Linked DNA regions of Macaca fascicularis. The protein of the gene in region 1 interacts with the protein of each later gene in a pairwise test. Links are inferred from orthologs where the notes say so. Each region holds a gene or a part of one and is shown on either strand. Other genes may lie near its edges. The genes, in order: CASP10, RIOK3 and XIAP.

Evidence for each region.
Region 2: the proteins of CASP10 (region 1) and RIOK3 interact in binary tests that used the Homo sapiens proteins (3 or more experiments, as listed by UniProt). The link is inferred for Macaca fascicularis from reciprocal best matches to the Homo sapiens genes CASP10 and RIOK3.
Region 3: the proteins of CASP10 (region 1) and XIAP interact in binary tests that used the Homo sapiens proteins (3 or more experiments, as listed by UniProt). The two-hybrid records come from large-scale screens. The link is inferred for Macaca fascicularis from reciprocal best matches to the Homo sapiens genes CASP10 and XIAP.

Annotation. Positions count from the first base shown.
Region 1 is NC_088386.1:96,960,862-96,965,333, reverse strand, and holds part of CASP10 (caspase-10), read right to left. Parts: intron 3,698-4,472; coding exon 3,562-3,697; intron 1-3,561. UniProt on the Homo sapiens protein: Involved in the activation cascade of caspases responsible for apoptosis execution. Recruited to both Fas- and TNFR-1 receptors in a FADD dependent manner. May participate in the granzyme B apoptotic pathways.
Region 2 is NC_088392.1:66,274,950-66,279,044, forward strand, and holds the end of RIOK3 (serine/threonine-protein kinase RIO3), read right to left. Parts: intron 2,951-4,095; coding exon 2,843-2,950; 3' UTR 1,148-2,842; downstream 1-1,147.
Region 3 is NC_088395.1:130,087,214-130,092,359, forward strand, and holds the start of XIAP (E3 ubiquitin-protein ligase XIAP), read left to right. Parts: upstream 1-1,773; 5' UTR 1,774-1,844; exon of another isoform or gene 1,845-2,108; 5' UTR 2,109-2,235; exon of another isoform or gene 2,236-2,493; intron 2,494-5,146.

The DNA.
Region 1 (4,472 bases):
CAGAGACACCTGTAATCTCAGCTACTCAGGAGGCTAAGACAGAAGAATCGCTTGAGCCGAGATCGTGCCATTGCACTCCAGCCTGGGCAACAAGAGCGAAACTTCATCTCAAAAAAAAAAAAGTCAGCTATATTATGTGGGGGGAAAAGCAAGTTTTAGAATATGATTAGCATGGTCTTTGTTAAAAATATACGTGTCTCTCTGTGTGTGTGTATGTAATATCTCTGTACACTTACAATTGTTTCTATATAGAAGGAAATCAATAAGTATATATTCCAAACAGTGGTTATCTTTGGGAAATGGGTTAGTAATAGAAAAAGAAGAAAAGGAGAAAGACTTTTACCTTCTACACTCTATGTTGCTTTAATTATTTGAATTTTTATTTAATTTTATTATAATTATGTACCTTATTTTAATAATAAATTAAAAATACTAGGCTGGGCGAGGTGGCTCATGCCTGTAATCTCAGGACTTTGGGAGGCCAAGGCAGGTAGATCACGAGGTCAGTAGTTTGAGATCAGCGTGGCCAACATGGTGAAACCTTGTCTCTACTAAAAATACAAAAATTAACTGGGTGCGGTGGTGCATGCCTGTAATCCCAGCTACTCGGGAGGCTGAGGCAGGAGAAGAATTGCTTAAACCTGGGATGGGGAGGTTGCAGTGAGCTAAGACCGTCCCACTGCACCGCAGCCTGGGGAGAGTAAGAGTCTGTCTCAAGAAAATACCAAAGCAAACACCAAGGCTCAAGATAACTTAGAAAGTTAGCCAGGTGGTCCTTAAACAAAGCCAGTGTCCTCGCTTGGACTTTGGATCACACACACTTACAGGAAAGTCTAAACTCTGCACACCTACTCTTTTCAGTCCTTTAGACTTTCATCTTAACAGCAGAACTAGGCTCAAACTCTTAGAACTAAAGAAAGTCAATATTAAAATATCAATAATGATTGACACCCAAAAGAGATCACACACAGGTAGGTTATAGAAAAGAAAAATCAAAATTAGAATTCTGCTGATATAAAGCTCAGTCCTGGGCCAGGCTCAGTGGCTCACGCCTATAATTCCAGCACAGATCACTTGAGGTCAAGAGTTCAAGACCAGCCTGGCCAACATGGTGAAACCCTGTCTCCATTAAAAATACAAAAATTAGCTGGGCATGGTGGCAGGCATCTGTAATCCCAGCTACTCAGGAGGCTGAGGCAGAAAAATCGCTTGAACTTGGGAGGCGGAGGTTTCAGTGAGCCAAAATCATGCCACTGTACTCCAGCCTGGGTGACAGAGCAAGACTCCATCTCAAATAAAAATAAAAATAACAAAGCTCAGGCCAGGCACGGTGGCTCACGCGTGTAATCCCAGCACTTTGGGAGGCCGAGGTGGGCGGATCGCGAGGTCAGGAGATTGAGACCATCCTCGCTAACTCGGTGAAACCCCATCTCTACTAAAAATACAAAAATTAGCCGGGCGTGTTGGCGAGTGCCTGTAGTCCCAGCTACTCAGGAGGCTGAGGCAGGAGAATGGTGTGAACCCGGGAGGCGGAGCTTGCAGTGAGCTGAGATCACGCCACTGCACTCCAGACTGGGTGACAGAGCGAGACTCCGTCTCAAAAAATAAAAATAAAACAACAAATTTCAGTCTTCAAGACTCACTGAGGCAAATGTAATCAACTACATAGAAGCTAGTGTGTCTTCTTTAGAATTTAAGTATCCAAAATAATATGACCACTTGCCCTTTGTTTACTTCATATGGGATATGACATTACAGAAAAATGACAATGTGTTTAGAAAAAAACTCAGAGCTCATGTGAGGATTTGAAATGTTCTTTCCATATCAACCTTCTGCTTTCTCATTTGATAATTTGATGATAGAAAGAACTGTTTTTATTCTTCATAACTTAAATTATGCATTTATTCATCATTTTATTGCTTGAGATTTTATCAATTTGACAACAGTATATTTTGCTCCTCAACTCATTCTGTGTTAACCAAATTCTTAGAGAGACGTTTCCTCTTAGCTAGTTTCATTTTCAACCAAAGAAATCTGCACACTAGAGTCACTCACTGAACTAAATTAAGGGTGTGGCATAAAAGTTTCATGAATATACTCATGCGTTTTTATGTATAGCTCTTGTTTAACAGTGGAGAAATTGACTCAGAAAAACACAGATATTTAGCGTATTGACACGTGGTGAGGCAGCCAGGTTTGACTTCTGCCCTGTGCTTCTACCTGTATAAAATATCACAGCAGAACTATCTTTATCAGACAGACTTGAAAAAAAAAAGAAACCCACATGAAAATAAAGTTCTTCTTTGATAGTAGTTTCTGAGAATGTGAGGTCTTCCTGACTTTTCTCTCTGAGAGAGTCATAGTAGCCACATGTATTGAATGCTTACTCCACGCCAGACATGCATTTTACAGAAACTATCTCCTTCAAACCTCACAAAAACCTAGGAGGTTGGTACTATTATTATGCCCACTTTACAGATGGGGAAAGTGAGACATAGAAAAGCCAAAAAAGTACCACTGCACCACTAGTCAGCGGAGTCCTGGCCATCCGACTCCATAGACTCCACTCTCACCCCATGCTATCCTGCCTTCTTTTTCATGTTATTTGGGTTAAAACAAAATTCCCTATACTCTCACTCCCATATTAGAATCAGAAAAAGACATTTGTCTAAAACTACTTCCCTGCACTGAAATATAAGTTCCAAGAGGGCAGGAGCTTTGTTCTGTACTTTGCTATACCCCCAACTTCTAAAGCAGTGCCTAGTACAACATATGAACTCAACCAATATGTGTTGAAAGAACAAAGGGGGAGATTTCTGGCTTTCCTAGCAGAATATTATCGGAATGATGAGTAAATATCACACACGGGTGAGGAGCGGTGGCTCACACCTGTAATCCCAGCATTTTGAAAGGCCGAGGTGGGTGGATCACTTGAGGTCAGGAGTTCAAGACCAGCCTGGCCAACATGGTGAAACCCTGTCTCTACTAAAAATACAAAAATTAGCCAGGCATGGTGGCAGGCTCCTGTAATTCCAGCTACTCGGAAGGCTGAGGCAGAAGAATCACTTGAGCCCGGGAGGTGGAGGTTTCAGTGAGCCAAGATCACACCACTGCACTCCAGCCTGGGAGACAGAGTGAGTAAGACTCTGCCTCAAAACAAAACAAACAAACAAACAAAACATCATGCATGGCCAATTGCTTTAAGAATTTCCATGGGGCCAGGCGCGGTGGCTCAAGCCTGTAATCCCAGCACTTTGGGAGGCCGAGATGGGCGGATCACAAGGTCAGGAGATTGAGACCATGCTGGCTAACACGATGAAACCCCATCTCTACTAAAAAATACAAAAAACTAGCCGGGCGAGGTGGCGGGCACCTGTAGTCCCAGCTACTTGGGAGGCTGAAGCAGGAGAATGGCGTGAACCCGGGAGGCGGAGCTTGCAGTGAGCTGAGATCCGGCCACTGCACTCCAACCTGGGCGACAGAGCGAGACTCCGTCTCAAAAAAAAAAAAAAAAAAGAATTTCCATGGTCTGGTCCAAGTTAGCAAGCACAAGCTACTTACCTTTCTCTCTTTTGTATTTCTCTATGTTTCTCAAAAGTTTAGGTACAACCATTTTGCAGAGGTCCTCCAAGCATGTCAGATTATCTTCATCTATTTTATCTTGTTTCTCTAGAAGTGCCAGGAAACTCAGGGAGGTCTACAAGAGAATCAATAGAGTTACATTTACTTGCCTACTGATTATCCACTCACTCAGATGTTACCTGCATGGCCAGTAGGCACTAGGTTTTGCACTGATAAATAAGATATAACAGGATCTGCCCTCAAGTTGCTCAGGGGTGTAGGGGAAGAGGCGTTACCAAGCAAATCTGTATACAATCTATATTAATACCAGATACCAAATATATATAACTCTATGCAACAGGGACAGTGCTTGCTGTATATTAACAGCACAACAACTGATTGAGTAGATACTATTATATTCCCCATTTTAAAGATGAAATAATTGAAGCACAAAGAAGTTCCAGTAACTTGCCCAAGGTCACAAAGCTAATTAATGGCAGAGCTGGTACAATCTGATGCCAAAGTCTATTTTATTAACCACTGAACTCTAAGTCACAGCTTTAAGTGATACTGATTAGGAAACCAGCAAAAGAGGGACACCAAAGAAATGAGGAGAAAATGTTTTGAAAGAATTTTATATTTGGTATTTTAAAAGAAAAAGAATTTTCTGAAACAAAAAATCACAATTTGGCTAGTATTTTTTTTTTTTTTTTTTTTTTTTTTCCGAGACGGAGTCTCACTCTGTCTCCCAGGCTAGAGTGCAGTAGTAAAATCTTGGCTCACTGCAACCTCCACCTCCATTCAAACCATTCTCCTGCCTCAGCCTCCTGAGTATCTGGGATTACAGGCTCATGCCACCATAACCGGCTAATTTTTGTATTTTTAACAGAGACAGGGTTTCAACATGTTGG
Region 2 (4,095 bases), on another chromosome or scaffold:
TGAGCTGCCCACCTCAGCCTCCCAAAGTGCTGGGATTACAGGCCTGAGCCACTGCACCTGGCCGAGGGACTTTCACTTGAACATTTCTAAATTCCTACAATATTTACATTCAAATAAATGACTTACTTTTGTAAGCAAGAAAAACTAATTTTTATGAAAAGGAAATTGGTAATTATCATATTGAAATAAAAGTTAACTAGTCATCCTTATTTTGATAACTTAATGTGAGATAAAATATCCCTATTTCCGTATTTTATATATTTTCATTTTATTAATTTATTTATTTTGAGACCAAGTCTTTATCTGTCACCCAGGCTGGAGTGTAGTCGTGTGATCATAGCTCACTGCAGGCTGGATCTCCTGAGCTCAAAGAATCCTCCTGCCTCAGCTTCCCCAGTAGCTGGGACCAGAGATGCGTGCCACCCACCTAATGTTCTGTAGAGATGAGGTCTGCTCTGCTGCTCAGGCAGATCTCAAACTCCTAGGTTCAAGTGATCATCCTGCCTCAGCATCCCAAAGTATTGGGATTACAGGTGTGAGCCACCACGCCCAGCCTGTATTTGATTTTTTTTTTTTTTTTTTTTTTTTTTTGAGACGGAGTCTCGCTCTGTCACCCAGGCTGGAGTGCTGTGGCCAGATCTCAGCTCACTGCAAGCTCCGCCTCCCGGGTTCCCGCCATTCTCCTGCCTCAGCCTCCCGAGTAGCCGGGACTACAGGCGCCCGCCACCTTGCCCGGCTAGTTTTTTTTTTTTTGTATTTTTTAGTAGAGATGGGGTTTCACCGTGTTAGCCAGGATGGTCTCGATCTCCTGACCTCGTGATCCGCCCGTCTCGGCCTCCCAAAGTGCTGGGATTACAGGCTTGAGCCACCGCGCCCGGCTTGATTTTTTATTTACTTAGCAAACCAGTATTTTTCACTTTCTTTTTCTACTATGGGAAAAAATCTACTCTGTAATCTACAAGGGGGGTGGGGGTGAAAACCTATTTGTAATGTGAAGTAGGCCATTTGAGACTGAAATCTAACAATGAGAGGTTGAGGGGGAATAATCTACTTAAAACAGTATCACTTAACTTTATACAGAAATGGCAACTTGGTACCAGGACATAAGTTAATATAAGGAACAGGAAGATACCACACAAAGAACCAATTTTAAAATGATCTCTTTTTAATTTCTTAAAAAGCACATTCACAGCACACTCCAAGAATGCCACACAGCAGTGGTTTGCTGCTCTTTGTCAGAATATGTCAGAAAACAAAACAAAAAAAGTTTTAAATGTTTTAAAAATTAGTTCTCTGAAATTTCTGTAAAGCCAGTATCACCAGTCATCTAAATCTTTATTTTGGAACAGTAAATCTTTCAAAAATGTAATTAGCATCTACCCAAAATCACACTTCTCTGAAATGCAATTAAAAGCTATCCAACAAAAACAAAAATAAATATTTTTCTAGAAAGAACATATTTGGCATTTTAAAATAATGTTAAAAACAGCTTTCTCAAATGTAAATGATGTCTAGATTTTTACTTTCTATTACCAGACAGAAGGTTTGGATCTTTAGTGGTTCCAATCTGACTTCAGTAATAGGAGGAATGATTACGTTGAAGTTAATGAACTTCAAACCTAACAAAGCCAATATACTTTTCTAGCACAGTGATTGCTTTTTCAAAGTGGTGTCCAGCACGTACTAAAAACTACTAAGAGTAAGGCCAGAGAGCTCAAATTAGTTGATTAATTTGGTATCTAAATTGGGTTTGGTTTTTTTTTTTCCCTGGAGACAGAGTCTCACTCTGTCGCCCAGGCTGGAGTGCAGTGGCATGATCTCAGCTCACTGCAATCTCCGCCTCCCAGGTTCAAGCGATTTTCCTGTTTGAATTGCTTGAACCACGCCTGGCCCCCAAATTGTTTTATATATACCTTTCATCCTTTGATTTAATATTTCTAATTTGTGATATTTCTCTGAAAATCAATCAAGTACACAGTTTTAGTGAAATGTAAACGGAATTTTGCTTCATTAACTAAATTAAAATATGTCAAACATGGTTCAATCTTATATTCTGTCCTCTCAGATAATTTACATTTTATTGATAAATGTAGATTAGCCACACTATGAGTTATATCCTAACCATTTTACCTAAATGTAGAAAAGCTGAAAGTTGACTGGATAGTTAAAAAGCTGTTATATATTTATCTCTTTCAGAAACCTATGATGCCTTTTCTTAGATATAAGTATGGAAAAAGAATTCTGTTCATTTTCATGATATATCAACAAAAATTACATGGCTTATGTCTATTTCTGTCAGCCATTCTGAAACCAAATTTCCATTTGTTCTACCCATTAAAGAGCACACATTTTCCTTTAGAATCACGGCCACAGTCTGGAAACATAATTGAGAAAGGCTAACTCTGGGCCAGTAAGATATTCAAGGAAAGATGCAACACAAAACAGGGAGGTGAATAAAGCAAATACGTTGTAATGAAACCCTCCCTTGTAAACACATCTGTCCTTTCCTCCCATATTTGGAAATGTTGCCTAAGTTTTAAAAATTATCATCAAGACATTTTACACCACAAGTCATGTAAAATTAGGTCTACTTCAGCCAGATAACCTATAGCTGTTAAAGAATTATATTATCCTGTTCATAAGATGAGAGGTAGTGACATTTTATTCTCTCAATGCTGAGCTAAAGATTCCACACATCTGGCACATGGGTTACAAGGGGGGAAGCAGAGAAGCACCATTGCCCACTCCCCGTGTTCTGGTATTTCGAGTCGCCCACAACTTCATTTGCTATTGGCAGCTGACACTCACGGCTGTGTTAACACTGAAGCAGTGGGTATCAGTGCTATTCATAATATAGCACTGGTGGGTCTCCATCATCTTTCAAAAAAGAAGCAGCTTTCCTTCCATTCTTCTGAACGTGATCTTCATTCATTTTCTCCAAAGCTTCTATCTACAAAAATAATACATTGAATCCATTTGTTAGAATCCTACTTTTCACAGAAACCATATTTTAGATTATGCTAGTAATTTTTTTCTTTTTTTGAAATGGAGTCTCACTCTGTCGCCCAGGCTGGAGTGCAATGGTGCAATCTCGGCTCACTGCAACCTCCGCCTCCTGGGTTCAAGCAATTCTCCTGCCTTAGCCTCCCTAGTAGCTGGGACACATGTGCCACCACACCCAGCTAATTTTTGTATTTTTAGTAAAGACGGGGTTTCACTATGTTGTCCAGGCTTGTCTTGAACTCCTGACCTCAGGTGTTCCACCCGCCTTGGCCTCTCAGAGTGCTAGGATTACAGGCGTGAGCCACCGTGACCGGCCAATTTTTTTATTTTTTAATGGAGTTTATGTTGCTCAGGCTGGTCTCAAATTCCTGGGCTCAAGAGATCCTCCCTCCTTGGCCTCCCAAAGTGCTGGGATTACAGGAATAACAGGAGTGAGCCGCCATGCCTGGCTGAGCCAGTAACTTTTACTCTCTTAAAAACTAGGTTATTCCTAATGATTCTGCCTTTGAGTTGAAATTACTATGTGTGTGTGTGTGTGTGTGTGTGCGCGTGCGCCCGCGTGCATGTGTCCAAGTGTACACAGATAGTCATACATACATGTATTTTTTTTAACTTGATTACAAGGGTCAATATTTACTAACATTATCCAGCTAGCAATTGGAATCATCTATGTTTGAAAGGTATTCTATAAAACATTCCAGGCCGGGCGCGGTGGCTCAAGCCTGTAATCCCAGCACTTTGGGAGGCCGAGGCAGGCGGATCACAAGGTCAGGAGATCGAGACCACAGTGAAACCCCGTCTCTACTAAAAATACAAAAAATTAGCCGGGCGCGGTGGCGGGCGCCTGTAGTCCCAGCTACTCAGGAGGCTGAGGCAGGAGAATGGCGGGAACCCGGGAGGCGGAGCTTGCAGTGAGCCGAGATCGCGCCACTGCACTCCAGCCTGGGCAACAGAGCGAGACTCCGTCTCAAAAAAAAAAAAAAAAAAAAAAAAAAAACATTCCAGAAACAGGAAAAAGAGAATTTTATCATTCATCAAACAACAGTATCATTTACTTACTGAGCAACTGTATTGTGCTGGAAGCTGAATTTA
Region 3 (5,146 bases), on another chromosome or scaffold:
TCCTGACCTCGTGATCCGCCCGCCTCGGCCTCCCAAAGTGCTGGGATTACAGGCGTGAGCCACCGTGGCCGTCCTATGTATTTTTTTTTTTTTTTTTTTTTTTTTTTTTTTGAGACGGAGTCTCGCTCTGTAGCCCAGGCTGGAGTGCAGTGGCCGGATCTCAGCTCACTGCAAGCTCCGCCTCCCGGGTTCACGCCATTCTCCGGCCTCAGCCTCCCGAGTAGCTGGGACTACAGGCGCTGCCACCTCGCCCGGCTATTTTTTGTATTTCTTAGTAGAGACGGGGTTTCACCGTGTTATCCAGGATGGTCTCGATCTCCTGACCTCGTGATCCGCCCATCTCGGCCTCCCAAAGTGCTGGGATTACAGGCTTGAGCCACCGCGCCCGGCCGTCCTATGTATTTTTATTTATTTCTTTGTTTTGAGACGGAGTCTGGCTCTGTCACCCAGGCTGGAGTGCAGTGGTGTGCTCTCGGCACTGCAGCCTCCGCCTCCCGGGTTCCAGCGATTCTCCAGCCTCAGCCTACCAAGTAGCTGGGATTACAGGTGCACACCACCACACCCGGCTAATTTTTGTATTTTTAGTAGAGACGGGTTTTCACCATATTGGCCAGGCTGGTCTCGAATTACTGACTTCTGGTGAACCACCCGCCTCGGCCTCCCAAAGTGTTAGGATTACAGGCGTGAGCCACCGCGCCCAGCCAAAACAGTAAATTTTATGTCATGTACATTTTACCACAAGAAAAAAACAGTGCTTAAAAAAAAGCAAAAACAAAAATTAGAGAAGTGCCACTAGAGTTCAGAGCATGAAGGGATTAACTTCAGCTAAGAAAATCAGAGAAGGCTTTGTGTACGAGGATGGGGGGGCAGGCACAACGAGTAGTTCTGATTTGTTAGAAGATAGGGTAGGGTGCCCAAGGGGAGAATAAACATGCAACTAAGAGTTTTAAGAAAAGTCTTTCCTCTCCTCCCTCCCAAGTTCCCTTGTTGTGAAGGGAGGATCATATCTTGCATCACTTGATTTCATTTGAAATGAAATATTCAGAATCCATCATCTCACCACATTACCCTGTAAGATCCCATTTTCCTGAAACAAAAATTCCTATGTTGATCTGACAATCCTACAACGCATTTGAAATAAATCCAGGATTTATTTCAGCATTTTATGTACACAGACTTCCTTTGTTTCCTGTCCATCTGCTTTCTTTTTCCTCTATTAATTTTCCCTTCACCTCCCAATCTTAACCCCCGCCATTCCCCCAGGGTCTCCTTTTCTTGTCATCCCCTTCATCCTTTCCTTCTTGGAAAAAGATCCGATTCTAACCTCAGTTACCTTACTAGCCGCGTGATACTGGGATAGCTATCCCCTCTGGGTCTCAGTTTCCTTTGTAAAATGGGCTTATTAAATCCCCAGAGACAGTGCTTATCTTACAGGGTTGTCAACATTACAACAAAGACCACGTTATATGCCTAACACAGTACCTGATCTATAGTAAGAACTCAACATTTTCGCCCCTTCTCCTCCTCTTTTCCGTCCTTGTGCCTTTCTTCCCCTATTCCTCAACCCCAGGGCCCAACAGGTAAAAACCGTGGGAAAAACCATCCTTGAGGCCAAAAGAAGAAACGCAGGAGCTAGGGGCGGAGAGTACGAGGTGCTCACTGCGCATGTGCGCCCGCTAGGTCAGGTTCTGGGTTCCAGCTGGGAGGGGGGGCGGGGGGGTGGGGTTAGGGGTTGCAAGGGCCTCATTTTTTCTTACTGCCCCCTTCCGGTTCGGGAAGGTGGGGGGACCTTGGCGGTGCCCGGAGCCGGCGTGGCGCTCATCGAGGGACGCCCGGCTCAAGTGGTAAGTTGGAAAATGGCGGAGGGGGGGGAAGAAGGAGGGGCTTTGCAGGGCAGGAGGCTGACCTCCCGGCCGGGGGTGGGAAGGACACAGCCGGGGCCCAGTGGCGCAGCCCGGGCCCGGAGACTGACGGACAGCGCCTGGTGTCTCTTTGAGGCCCTGACGTGGACAAACTTCGGGTTTCACGACTCCGGGTTTCTCCAGCGGATGGGCAGACCGGTGGAGGCGCGTGAGGGAGACGAAGGGACTTCCGTTTCCTTCACCTAGGCTGGGGCCAGGCCGCAGAACGGAGTTGGCATTTCCAGATTGGGGCTCGGGCCGCGCCTCCTCCGGGACCCTCCCCTTGGACCGAGCTGATCGCCGCGGGGCAGTTCGGGCCGGCTGTCCTGGCGCGGTGGGTACAGCTTGTGTAGGCTTTCGCCTCCTCCGCTTTCCCTCCTTACCCTCTTCTCCCTCCCCTCTCTTCTTTTCCCCTCCACTCCCCTCGGGCCGGCGCTGCTGGGGAGGGCGGGAAGGCCGCGCCCGCCTGGCAGAGGTGGCCTGGCCCCGGCTGCTTGCCCGGGTTCCTCGGACTGCCGACGGCAGGCGTGGGTGAGTGGGTGGGTGACTTCAGGCCCGCGGGACTGCCTTCCTAAACCCTGTGACACCTAAGGTAAATTGAGGCAAATAACTTTTTTAAAAAATATGATCAAAGGGATTTCCTCCCCTTGTGATACCTGTGGCTTGTGTGGAGCAGGGTGGAGTGTGTCTGGAGAGGGCATATGAAACAGAAAGAATAAGGGCCAAAGAGCTTCCGGAAGAGGAAATTAGCTGGTAATTCTTTCCAATCTGCTTTCCCAGTCACCTCTCCGGCATGTTCTGTAAAACAAAATGTAATTTGATTTTGTTTCATTATTTTAACTCCATAACACTTAAATTATTTTCTTTTCGGGGAGGGGAGTGTTTATTCTCAAACTAAGCAGTAGCACTCTCCACCTCCGAAAAAGGAAAAACGTCAACCCAAGCTTTGTTAAAAAAAACCCCAACCAATCAGATTTTAATAATCTACTACTTTGCTTTCAAATATAATTATGTCGCTAGTTCTGTCACAACTATACTTTGATAGTTTAATGACTCACAGAAATTTGTAAGACTGGAGGTTTCAGTAGTGTTTCTTTTCCTTTTTTTCCCCATAATATTTATTACAGTCAATGAACAGTGTTACAGACGGCCATCTTAGAATTATAACATTTTAGAGTTGGAAGGGATCTTAGTCAAACCCTGTCCTTTTACAAAACCAGAAACAACGGCTTAGGGAGATTTCATAGCTTGCTTAAGGCTATCCAACTAGTTAAATTAGAACCCATGTTATCTGGCTTCTTGCCCATCACTTTGCACAGTTGCTCCATATCGCCTCCAAGCATGAAAATTAAATGTATTCAATTCAACACACATTTCTGAAGAGTATAATACTTTGTACCAGTGACTGTGGTACCACTTTCTATGTATTTCAATGTATTTAACATGCTTATGGAGTACTTGAGCTTCCCCCCCACCCCCACATTCAAGAAGTGGCAACAGTTTAGATTTATATACACACCTTCACATGTATGTGTGTATACTTGCATTTGCCTAGATAGTTTCTTGAAGGATACACAATAAAAATGTTAACAGTAGTTACTTATGGAGAAGAGAGGTAGAAGACTTTTTACTTTGCACTTCACATGACCTAATGTACGGTTTGAATTTGTTATAAATTTGTATTGATTTCATAATTGAAAAGTTTTAAAGTTCACACCTTCCCACACAAATATATATATCAACATAGGCAAATATATACCAATGGTACATACACATATTTATGCACATATATGTATTTATACATATCAGTGGTTTGTACTGTAAAATCCAGTATGATTCAGGTCAACTCAGCTGACAAAGCAGGCCTCTATTGGATACTCATGTTTCATTTTCTTGTATTGCTCTCTCCTAATGTAAGATAGTAAAAATAATATGTTACTAGTTGTCATATATTTTTAGAAATTGTCCTAAGCTTCTTGATTATCAAATAATGTAGCAAACTTTTAACACATTTAGAATATCAGATTTGGGTACTTGCTTCAGTGGTAGCACATATACTAAAATTGGAACAATTCAAAGAAGATTAGCATGGTGTTTTTTTGTTTGTTTGTTTGTTTTTGAGACGGAGTCTTACTCTGTCATCCAGGCTGGAGTGCAGTGGCACGATCTTGGCTCACTGCAGCCTCCGCCTCCTGGGTTCAAGTGACTCTCCTGCCTCAGGCTTCCGAGCAGCTAGGACTACAGGCACGCGCCACCATGCCCGGCTAATTTTTGTATTTTTAGTAGACACGGAGTTTCTCCATGTTGGCCAGGCTGATCTCGAACTCCTGACCTCAGGCGATGCACCGGCCTCAGCCTCCCAAAGTGCTGGGATTACAGGTGTGAGCTACCTCGCCCGGCCGGTCCCTTTTTTTGTTTGTATGTGTGTTTGTGTGAGACAGAATTTCGCTTTTGTTGTCCAGGCTGGAGTACAATGGCGCCATCTCGGCTAACTGCAACCTCCACCTCCTGGGTTCAAGTGATTCTTCTGCCTCAGCCTCCCAAGTAGCTGGGATTGCAGGTGCCCACCACCACACCCGGCTGATTTGGTCCCGTTTTAAATAAGCAACAACAACAACAAAAATTTGACACCTGACGCTGTGGCTCATGCCTGTAATCCCAGCACTTTGGGAGGCCAAGGCGGGTGGATCACCTGAGGTCAGGAGTTCCAGCCTGGCCAACATGGTGAAACCCCATCTCTACTAAAAGTAAAAAACTAGCCGGGTGTGGTGGTGTGCGTCTATAGTCCCAGCTACACAGGAGGCTGAAGCAGAAGAACTGCTTGAACCCAGGAGGCAGAGGTGGCAGGGAGCCGAGATCGCACCACTGTACTCCAGCCTCAGTGACAAGAGTGCACCTTTGTCTCAAAAAAAAAAAAAAAAAAAAAAAAGAAATTGATACAATGAAAATATCTGCAGCCTGGGCAACATGGCGCAGCCCTCTCTCTAATAAAAATACAAAAATTAGCCAGGCGTGCTGGCTTGTGCCTGTAGTCCCAGCTACTTTGGGGAGTTGAAGCAGGAGGATCACCTGAGCCTTGGGAGGTGGAGGCTGCAGTGAGCCATGATTGGGCCACTGTACTCCAGCCTGGGCAACAGAGTGAGACCCTGTCTCAAACAAAACAAACAAACAAATCAGAATTGTAGACTCTTTGTAGGTAAGAATATATGTTTTTTTAAAAAGTGAAGACTAGGGCCAAGTACGGT